3 linked regions of the Sus scrofa genome follow. The protein of the gene in region 1 purifies or fractionates together with the protein of each later gene. This does not show direct contact. Links are inferred from orthologs where the notes say so. Each region holds a gene or a part of one and is shown on either strand. Other genes may lie near its edges.

The links.
Region 2: the proteins of PHIP (region 1) and CUL4A purify together in Homo sapiens (affinity purification with western blotting; 11 studies listed by BioGRID and IntAct, with this or other methods). This does not show direct contact. The link is inferred for Sus scrofa from reciprocal best matches to the Homo sapiens genes PHIP and CUL4A.
Region 3: the proteins of PHIP (region 1) and CUL4B purify together in Homo sapiens (affinity purification with western blotting; 8 studies listed by BioGRID and IntAct, with this or other methods). This does not show direct contact. The link is inferred for Sus scrofa from reciprocal best matches to the Homo sapiens genes PHIP and CUL4B.

The regions. Positions count from the first base shown.
Region 1 is NC_010443.5:87,115,660-87,119,688, reverse strand, and holds the start of PHIP (PH-interacting protein), read right to left. Parts: upstream 2,806-4,029; 5' UTR 2,466-2,805; coding exon 2,426-2,465; intron 2,314-2,425; coding exon 2,255-2,313; intron 2,128-2,254; coding exon 2,098-2,127; intron 1,913-2,097; coding exon 1,853-1,912; intron 1,488-1,852; exon of another isoform or gene 849-1,487; intron 1-848.
Region 2 is NC_010453.5:78,574,026-78,577,542, forward strand, and holds part of CUL4A (cullin-4A), read left to right. Parts: intron 1-1,140; coding exon 1,141-1,259; intron 1,260-2,624; coding exon 2,625-2,817; intron 2,818-3,517. UniProt on the Homo sapiens protein: Core component of multiple cullin-RING-based E3 ubiquitin-protein ligase complexes which mediate the ubiquitination of target proteins. As a scaffold protein may contribute to catalysis through positioning of the substrate and the ubiquitin-conjugating enzyme.
Region 3 is NC_010461.5:98,685,570-98,689,086, forward strand, and holds part of CUL4B (cullin-4B), read right to left. Parts: intron 3,435-3,517; coding exon 3,367-3,434; intron 2,202-3,366; coding exon 2,083-2,201; intron 1,479-2,082; coding exon 1,286-1,478; intron 1-1,285.

The DNA of each region.
Region 1 (4,029 bases):
ACCTTGTTTTCACTGGAAAATAAAATGATACTCTTACAGGGATTAAACATCCCCATAACTGGGCCAAATACCATTGACAGCCTCATCTTAAAAATATGAATGTAACATGACCAATAGTCTTCACGTTAAAAAATACAGCAATCCTCACTGACTTCGGGTTTGTGGGTTTTTATGAAATGTAAAAATGACTTTGGTAAAAATAAATGCAAAGATGAATTCTGTCTGCCTTATTCTTTAAAATGGAACATTATAATCTTTATGACAATTTTTAAAGTAACACGAAAAACATGGAAATCCACTTAAGACTTCTGTCAAATATTTACAAAGGTAAAAATTAAATTCTGTAGTTACTGAATCTTGGAGTTTGCTTCAAACTCCATTTTAGCCAAGAAACAAGCCTAAATCACTAAATACTAGGAAAGCTAACAGAATGGAAACGAATGTATGGGTTAAGTCTCCCTTAAAATAACTAAACCTAAGTACCCTCGCTAACTTCAATAGCTATGAACACTTAGCAACAGCCAATTATTAAATCCTAACACATTTGGATACAGAGGTTAGATGTCTATACACAAATGAAACAAAAGCCACCAAAAATCATGTCATCCCTTCATCTCACAGAACACATTCAATTCTAAACTAGCTGAAACTTCCTAATCCTTTCAGAAACCCTCATAAAGTAACATTATAACTATTTCAAAACATCAGGTGCAAATATATCTCAGAAAATCAATGCACTGCCTAGATTTCAAAGGTTTGATCTGCCCCAGTAACTGCTTTTAATTTCCCAACACACACACATACATACAACCTATATCAGTTTAGGAGAAAACAATACGAAAACATACCTCCCGAAAACAAATATCCACTGTTCTATTCACAATCCTTACGTGATAGGTCCGCTTTTAACAAGCGATTTTTAGAAATTACTAAAATATTCACTTCGAAAACCCACAGAAGTAAGAAATAGGTTTCCCAAGCTGCTAACAAAATACTCCCCGATGGAAACTGCAGCACTTTTATTTGCCAATTTCCATTCCACAGTAAACATAGGAACAAAAATCAGAACTGATCTTCAGTGGCCTCCAAAAATAGCTTTTAATTTAACGAGGAGGCCTAACACGAGAAACAGCCGGATTGGAAAGAAAGAAAAAAAAAAAAGCTCCTTAAACTCCTGGTTTTCGGGGGTCCCTTCTGAGAAAGCGCTCGGGGAAATGCAAGCGCCGCTGGCCAGCCGGCATCGTACATCCGAACCTCTCCAACAAAAAAACCCAGATCGGTTCGTAAGGAAGGCGAAAGAAATGGGAGGAAAAAACAAAAACAAAAAACCCCCAGCGTCTCGACCCGGTTCCGCGGTGGCGGCACCGCCGGCTTGTGAAATGCTAATGCCACTTCGGAGCAGTTAGTCACCAGCCATTGTGTGGGGCAGGAGAAAGCCGAGCCGCCCGCGCGAGCAGAGCGAGCAGGCGTGCAAAGCGCGCCCTCCCCGCTCGCGCCGCTCGCGCCGCTCGCGCCGCCGCCGCCGCCGCGCGCGCCCCCGCGCCCGCACGGCCGCGCGCGCCGGCCCCTCCTCCTCCGGCCTTGCACTGCACAACGCTCATGACGTATCTTTATTTCTAGCACATTAACAAAATATCACAAATAAATTGTCGGCAGCCCCTGCGGCCCCGGGGTGCGGGTCCCCCCGGCCACTGCCCCCCGCGGCCCCCGCGCCTGCCTCCCAACCCTCCCCTGGCCTTGGGAGCTTGCAGGTTCCGAGGCCAAGTTTTTGTCTCCGTAAAAAATTGCGGGAAATTCAATTTTTATTCGACTCGGGGAAAAGTTTCTTTGCTCCGCGACGCGAATGTCTCACCAGATTCTGGTAGGTCCTGGGATGCTCCTTCCCGGTCCAGTCGGTGCGCCGGGGCAGCAGCTGCGGGGAGAGGGCACCCCGTGAGCCCGGCCCCCGGCCCCGGCCCGCCCGCGCCCCTCCCCCGCCTGCCCCCCGCCCCGCCGGGGACCCCGAGCCCCGCGCCCCGCGCCCCGGCGGCGGCGGCGGCGCAGCGGCCCGCTGGCGGCCGCGCAGCGGCGGGACGCGCGGGCCGCCGCCGCCCTTACCTCCTTCTCGGCCACCTCGCGGATCAGCACCTGCAACAACAAAGCGGGGAGAGCTGAGCCCCGCGCCCCGGGCCCGGCCCCGCCGCCGCCGCCGCCGCCCTCCCCCACGCCCGCGAGCGGCGAGCGCCCGCCCGGCCCGCCCCGCGCGCCGCCGTACCTGAGCCGCCTGCTGACAGGGTCCATCTTCCAGGAACCGGGCGATGAGGAAGTAGAGCTCTGCGCGGGAGAGAGGGACCGGAGACACAGGCTGAGCGGCCGGGCGGCGGGGGGCGGGGGCCCGCGGGCGGAATCGCCCGGTGCCAGCGGCCCCGGCAGCCCCCCGACTTACCCGATCGCAGCTCCGAGAGGCCTTTCCTCTCACAAGACATGTTTATGGGTCACTTCGGGGCCGCCGGCGGGACACCCCGCCGCCGAGGGGAAGCGGGGATGGTGCCGCCGCCTGCCCTATAGCTGTCACTGTGTGTTCACGAGCCGAGCCTGGGCTCCACCATTCAAGCTACGGCGGCGGAGGCGGAGGAGGAGGAGGAGGAAACAACAACTCTCAGGCAGCGGCTCCAGCCGCCGCCGCCTCCGCCGCGGATCCCTCCGCCGCAGAAAAGAGTCCGCCGCCTTCGCGGCCCCGGGCTCAGCCCGGTCCTGCCCGCGCCCCCGCCCCCCGGCGCTGAAAAAAAGGAGTGCCTCCGACCCCGCGCCCACGGCGCCCCGCACCCGGCGCGGCGAGCCCCCCGCCCGCTGCTTCCCGGCCGGAGGTGCTATTTATTTATTTATTTCCAGTCGAAGATGTCGGAGCCGAAGCCGCCGGTTGGCTGCAAGGCGCTTTCTCTGTGGAGGCCGATCGCGGGAGGGAGGGGGGTCGGCGACGGCTCTGCGGAGGGATCTGACGCACACGGCGCCGCAGCACAGGCTCTATTCAGTGGCGCTGGCTGAGGCTGAGATGGAAGTTAGTTTCTATGTAGCAGAAATAGGAAACAAATGAAGCAAAACTGCCCAGAGAGGGGAAATGCCCCGAGGATGGGTCTCACTCTCACGCGCGCGCACAGACACACACGCATAGAGCACTCTCACGCTGGGCAAACTCGGGATCGCGCCACCCTGCCCGAGTTGAATGATAGTGTTTGGTTTCTGTCTCTTGGCCATGTGCATGTGTATAAATGCTGCGGATTGGCATCTGTGTAAGTCTTGTCCTGTTATTTCTGCAGCCTAGGCAAAGTGTTGTGTAATTTAACGGAGAGCTGTATATTGCAGGAGAGGTTCAGGGGCTTTTTGTTGAGCCCTTGCGTTTCCAAGCCCGTTATTTGCTGAAGCCACCTCTGCATATATCTTTTATTACTGCCATTGCCTTAACCGTACATTTTTTAAATGTGTGGGGTTTTTTATTGTTATATTGGCAAAGCGAACTCGTAGTCTGTACTTCAGATACTCTTTTTTTTTTCCCCTTCGTTACAAAAAGGCTAGTAATGGCTAATTAGGGATTTGGGATTAAAGAACCTTAAAGCTTTCTTAAGTGTTTACGAGAAGGAATAGTGTAAACCTGAGAGAAAGGAAAGAACGCTAATATTTGTCTCTAACTGATCGGGAGGGAATATAGTGACAGATCAATAACCTACCGAAGGATAATGAGAGAGTATACTACACTTTAGCCAAAGTGATTAGTGATTAAATAATTTAAATTATCTGTGTATCTGTGTATACTTCGTCATGCTAATTAATGGCTTCTAATTTGAGGTGTAAACCATTCCTGTTTACAGTTAATCACGGGAAGACTTCTTGAAAACTGACAAAAAGAGAAAAAAATTAATCTTTTGTAAATGAGTATGTAATTACCGGTTTTATATGCTAAATCATACATCTGTGTTTTGCTGATGAGGATAAGGGCCTTGTTTTTTTAAAAACGAATATGGGTGAAATTAATGGAAACAATGGAAAAAGCCA
Region 2 (3,517 bases), on another chromosome or scaffold:
CCCCAGACAGAGCCACAGCCCGGCGCAGGTTTGGTGTCTCCCCGCTCGCAGCCCCCTGGAGCAGCAGCTGGTACGTTTTCTCCGGAGCAGGGCCTTCAATTACTGTCGACCTCAAACAGAAGCTTCCAGATTCTGCTCGGTGTCTCTTTGGAAGAAAGTACGTCACGTAGATAGTAGACATTTGAGTGATTCGTTTCAGGGCATGTTTTGACAAGCAAGATTGTTTCAAGAAAATAGTGAATCATGTATACTTAAGAACGTAGTCTAATTTTTACTAGAGACCTTTTACAAAATTAAAATCTGACTTTTGAATCCTTTCTTTTTTTTTTTTTAGCTTTTTAGGGCCACACCCACGGCATATGGAGGTTCCCAGGCTAGGGGTCAGATCAGAGCTACAGCTGCTGGCCTTCACCACAGCCACAAAACGCCAGATCCGAGCCACATCCGCAGCCTACACCACTCTCACGGCAACGCTGGATCCTTAACCCACTGAGCGAGGCCAGGGATGGAACCCACACCTCATGGTTCCTAGTCGGTTTCATCTTCGCTGCGCCACTGTGGGAACTCCTGATCTTTGAATTCTTAAGTCATCATTAAGCATTTCAGTAGATAAATTGTAAAATGAAGTATTTGCAGGAGTAGGTCAGAAAGTCATTGAGAGAAACAAGGGGCCTCTGACCCCTTGCCTGGGCGCCCGGGTTGGACGTGTGGGCACATGCGCCTGTTGACAGGTCCCGCAAAGCAGGGACTTAGGCGCCCTCGTGGAGGCTCTTCCGATCGTGTGGTGTTAGCAAACCTTCATGGAGGGGTCATGCCTAGAGTAGTAAGTACCTGGACGCTGCCGTAGGCGGCTGGTATGAAGCGGCTGGGAAAGACCGGATGCACCAGCTTATCCTTTGGCAGAGGCACTTGCCGGCCGAGGGGCTGAATTAGACGTGACCTGGGCTCAGAGCCCCAGGTCAGAGCTGGTGAGAGAGAGCCTTCTGCAGACGCAGCTGCTGGAGCGGGACGGGGGGAAAGGGGACCTCCCCGGCTGCCGAGGGCAGGGGCGGCTCCTGCGTCCCGGGTCACCTGTGACCTCGTGTGGCCATTGTACCTCGGCCGCCTGCCGCAGCCGCTCACGGTGTCGTGTGACCACAGGGCTGGACCACCTGCTGGACGAGAACAGGGTGCCCGACCTCACGCAGATGTACCAGCTGTTTAGCCGCGTGCGGGGCGGCCAGCAGGCGCTGCTGCAGCATTGGAGCGAGTACATCAAGGTGCGTGCAACCCCCTGGCCGCGGCGGGCAGGCGGTGGCCGTCCCTCTTCCAGGTCACTTGTGCACCCGGTTCTAGGGATGGAGGGGGTCCAGGTGTCAGCTGTGCCCGCTGCCCTCGGCGCTCGTGGTCAGCATGAGCACCGGCTTACATCAGCGGTCGTGATGGCCTCATCTCCCGAGCCATGACCTTTGCTCGGGGGCAGCTGCTGCCCGGGTTGGTGTGTCGGGGTGGTGCGGGTGCTGCTTGTGTCTTGGAAATCCAGGTCTGTGAGCAAGCGTGCGCTTTCAGGCGTGTGCGCACAAACACGCGCAGGTGGTTCGCACAGAGGCGGGCGCAGGTGAGACGCCAGCCACGTGGATGAGTTGAGGGCACATGGCAAAGGCCAGTGTCCAGTGTCCCAGTTGTGATGCTGCTTGGTGGCTTTGCCACCTGGTACCTTTGGGAACAAAGGACATGGTCACCGCTTCTGCGTGTGGATCTGTGACCACGCAGGGAGGTTCAACTAAGTCCAAAAGATAAAATAATCTGGCCTGGAGCCGCCGACCAGGGGTCCCGAGAGACCCGAGCCCAGCAGCCGACACCCCAAGCCCACCTGTGTGCTTCTCCGTCTGGGCGGAAGGGCAGTGGTGAGGACGCTGGGCCGGCGCCCGCTGACGGTCTGCAGGGAGGCTCTGGCAGCGCAGGAGGTGTGTTCACGGGTCGGGTGTGCCTTCTTTCAGGCCCGGTCAGTACTGGAGGGAACGGGGGGAAGGGCGACCCACCCTCGCCCCCACCCCCCGTGGCACTGGTGACACTTCACGCCTGTCTTCTCGCCAGGCACCTGCCCCCTCGGGCATGTGTGCGGGTGTGTCCTCCGAAGGGCGGTTTTAAAAACAGACGTTTGTCATGTGGACTGGCAGGTGTCTTCAGTGCCGCTTGGGCTGGTAGCTTGTCTTGGCAAAGGTGAGCTGCAGCTCTCACACGGGCCTTTAAATGCCTCACACAGCACCTGTGAGTGAAAAGCCGGGCTCTGGACCATGGTTGTGAGTGAGGAGCAAGCCCATTAGTCAGGAAGTACAAACAGTGGCGTCAGGTTAGGGGACGTCATTTCTCTTTGACGAATTTGTAAGTAAGAGTTTTTAAAAGCAGCCGACGGTTCCCCAGTAATTTGTAAATTCTTCCAGAAGCAGGATTGCAACCCCAGAGCCTTCTCTGCACATCTGCTTCATTTTTAGGTAGTCGACTGCGTTTGGGAAACTTCTGAAAGTAGTTAGCATGTAATACCAGGAGTGATTAATTTGCACTGACCCGTTGAGAGTGTTAGCAGGAGAGAAATGACGCTGTGTCACACACCCGGTGAGGACGCGGAGCGCTTGTTCTTGCAGACGTTTGGGACAACCATCGTTATCAATCCAGAAAAGGATAAAGACATGGTGCAGGACCTGCTGGACTTCAAGGACCGCGTGGACCACGTGATCGACGTGTGCTTCCAGAGGAACGAGAAGTTCATCAACCTGATGAAGGAGTCCTTCGAGGCGTTCATCAACAAGCGGCCCAACAAGCCCGCCGAGCTGATCGGTAGGGACCCTCCCCCGCCGCGTCCCCGCGGGAGCCCGCAGAGCGCGGGCAGAGGCTGGTCCCCCGCAGCTCACGCTCCTCACGCGGAGGTGGGCCCCTGACGTAGGCGCACACGCGTGTTCAAAACGCGTGCACACGTGCGTGCGTGGATATACTTTAAATGCGTGTGGACGTTCGCGGCGTTTCCATAAGGGCTCCTGTTGGGGCGACTCTGCAGAGAAGTGAGCGGGAGAGCCCGGCCCCAGTCTGCACGGCCTGCAGCTCCGGGGCCGCCCTTTGTAAAGACGAGGCTCGATGCTCCGTGTGACCACAGACAAGTCATTTCCGCTCAGAGACTGGCCGTGTGAGGATAACTGTCAGTCTCCAGAGCGTGTTCCGCATGAGGTGCTCTGGAGTCACTGTCTCCGTGTCCTCCAGGCAGCATTAAAACAGGGTAAAATTGAACGGCATCTCCTAGGAGAGCACGTTTCAGAAGACAGTCTTTAAAAGGTCACTTTGTATAGTTATTTCACGATGACTTCAAAGTGTATTTCAGGATTCATAGAATTTCACTAGTGAGTAGTGTTTTCCAGTTCCAGGAGGCAGAGGCAGAGAAAGGCGATGCAGAATCGGGCTCTGCCGAAGAGGTGGGGGGGATGCGGTGTTCCTTGTACCGGGGTCTGCGTTGGTGTGCGTGCAGGGGGTATTTCACCCTCGAGAT
Region 3 (3,517 bases), on another chromosome or scaffold:
ATGAATATTTTCTCAGGTCGGTCTCCCAAAGCAATAGACCTTAGAGCAAAAATAAACCCATGGGACCTCATCAAACTGAAAAGCTTTTGCACAGCAAAGGAAACCCAAAAGAAAACAAAAAGACAACTTACAGAATGGGAGAATATAGTTTCAAATGATGCAATGGACAAGGGCTTATCTCTAGAATATATAAGCAACGTATACAACTCAACAGCAAAAAAACCAATCAATCAATGGAAAAATGGGCAAAAGACCTGAATAGACATTTCTCCAAAGAAGATATACAGATGGCCAACAAACACATGAAAAAATGCTCACCATTGCTGATTATAAGAGAAATGCAAATCAAAACTACCATGAGATATCACCTCACCCCAGTCAGAATGGCCATCAGTAATAAATCCACAAATAACAAGTGCTGGAGGGGCTGTGGAGAAAAGGGAACCCTCCTGCACTCTTGGTGGGAATGTAAACTGGTACAGCCACTATGGAGAACAGTTTGGAGATACCTTAGAAATCTATACATAGAACTTCCATGTGACCCCGCAATCCCACTCTTGGGCATCTATCCGGACAAAACTCTACTTAAAAGAGACACGTGCACCCGCATGTTCATTGCAGCACTATTCACAATAGCCAGGACATGGAAACAACCCAAATGTCCATCGACAGATGATTGGATTCGGAAGAGGTGGTATATATACACAATGGAATACTACTCAGCCATAAAAAAGAATGACATAATGCCATCTGCAGCAACATGGATGGAACTAGAGAATCTCATCCTGAGTGAAATGAGCCAGAAAGACAAAGACAAATACCATATGATATCACTTATAACTGGAATCTAATATCCAGCACAAATGAACATCTCCTCAGAAAAGAAAATCATGGACTTGGAGAAGAGACTTGTGGCTGCCTGATGGGAGGGGGAGGGAGTGGGAGGGATCGGGAGCTTGGGCTTATCAGACACAACTTAGAATAGATTTACAAGGAGATCCTGCTGAATAGCATTGAGAACTTTGTCTAGATACTCATGTTGCAACAGAAGAAAGGGTGGGGGAAAAAATGTAATTGTAATGTATACATGTAAGGATAACCTGACCCCCTTGCTGTACAGTGGGAAAATAAAAAAAATTATAAAAAAAAAAGAAATCATCACCTAAGTAACTCCAAATAAATGAGGTGTTAATTTACTACAACCTTGTCAAAATTTCAGATTAACTCAAATTTTATGAGTAAAAGAAGAACATTAAATAATTGGGGAAAGGAATTGGAAAAATACCTATAAGTTCAGCAGGTTTGTTTGGTCTTTTGTTAATAAATGTTTCAAATGCTTCTTTCATGGCGTTGATAAATTTTTCATTCTTCAGAAAACAGATATCAATTATATGGTCAACCTTATCTTTAAAATCCAGTAATTCTTGAACCATGGTTTTATCCTTTTCAGGATTAATTACAATAGTGCTACCAAATGCCTAAAAAACAGAAATAACCACTTTTTACCAGAATTGAATTATCTACAATGAAAATAATCCAAAAATCATATTTTAAGTAGGTACACATACTTTAAAATCTCAAAAAACTTAAAATAAAATAAAGCTAGTTTTGAAGTCAAGGAAAGAAAAAAATAGTGAAAAAATACCATTCATCTATAATCACAAAATAATGAATGATCACTGGGTATACAGTATCATAATGGGGTATTATTATAGAAGTGTCTAGGGTCTTTTCCCTACTTTTAAAGAAGTGAGCTTTGAATTTTTAGAAAATAGCAATCTGCCTTCAGTGTAAGATTGAAAAAAGGGAAGAAATTTGGATAGAAAAAAGGTCCTATTTCTTTCTCCACATTCACTGCTCTGAGTATCAGAGCTAGAAATCACATCAGACATCAAGAAGGTAACTGTTTTATTGCTAATTTTCCACACAGCTATCATTCTCAGGTTGACTGCTCTCAAAATTCTCATTACTTAAAAAAAATTGGATCTCACGAGTACTAAATGCTAGCTGATATGCACTCTGGATATATAAATGATAAGCCATGAGAGGAAAAAAAAAAAAAACCAGGTTAATTGTTAATACCTTAATGTATTCAATCCACTGTTGCAAGAGAACCTGAACGCCTCCTCGAACTCTACTGAAGAGTTGATATAGGAGAGATAAATCTTGAATTCGGTTTTCATCAAGGAGATTATTTAAACCTGAATTTTGAAGTATTTGTTATTAAAAAAGTGAAAACATCAGATATTGTAATGAAAATTAAGTTAAATTATTACTGTGATACTAGATTTTAATATGGATATGTGCTCTGAATTAAACTCAAAGAGACAGTCACCTTTCCAAATGAAAACTAAATATAGAAAACTTTACATAAAAATAAAAATAATAATATAGCAGTTTATACTATTTAGTATGGCAGATCACATGTATAAACCAACTTATAAAAACTGATTTACATAAATATATATACTTCATATCAAATTTGTAACAGCCATATATACATCAGTGTACATAGGTATATTTTAGAGTATTAGATATGGCCTGTGGTATATTGAAACCCATGTACCAATAGGCAAAGTTTAAATGAAGTTCTAATGCATTTGATTTTCAGAATGAATAGCGTAACTGCATTAAAATTCTAAAATATTTTACACAAAAGAAAAGATGACTGGAAAGAAAGGTAAGACTTTGGCCTATTTGTGGCACTGTCAAAATTCAGGACATCCTCATAGATAACTTAGGAGTAATAGAAATGCTTGGTTCTGGGAGTTCCCGTCATGGCACAGCGGAAACGAATCCGACTAGGAACCATGAGGTTGCAGGTTCGATCCCTGGCCTCGCTCAGTGGGTTAAGGATTCGGCATTGCCGTGAGCTGGGGTGTAGGTTGTAGACTCAGCTCAGATCTGGTGTTGCTGTGCTGCCTGTGGTGTAGGCCAGTAGCTTAGCTCCAAATGGACCACTAGCCTGGGAACCTCCATATGCCATAGGTGCAGCAGCCCTAAAAAGACAAAAAAAAAAAGCAAAAAAAAAGAAATGCTTGGTTTTATATGCTAGGAACAGAAACATTTTAGTGAAAAAATGCCTTTCCTTATTACTGTAGTCTTACAAATTAAAATAAAAAATCCCCAAATTCCCACTGTTTCTTTACTGGTATTGGTAGAGTCCTCTCATCTTACTTTCTGTATCTTAAGGAAAGAAGCACCTCCTTAAGTTTACAGTGATGACTAGGGAAAAGTGGGTTGCATCCATCCTCAGAAATGCAGCCACACGCTAGCAAATTTTCAAAGGTGCAATCTTTAAAAATTTTCTACTTGTTTGCTGCTATCATTTAAAAAGTAATCTCTTATTTATAAATTGCCAATTACCTTTCTGAAGAATTGCTGTTAAGTGTTCACCTAGAAGTTGTTTCTCTACAGTAGCAATTAATGACTTCCTACAAAAAAAATTAGAATTATTGACATTTGACTTTGCTAAAAATTTACAGCCTCTCCTGGGGGGGGGAATCATATTTCAGAA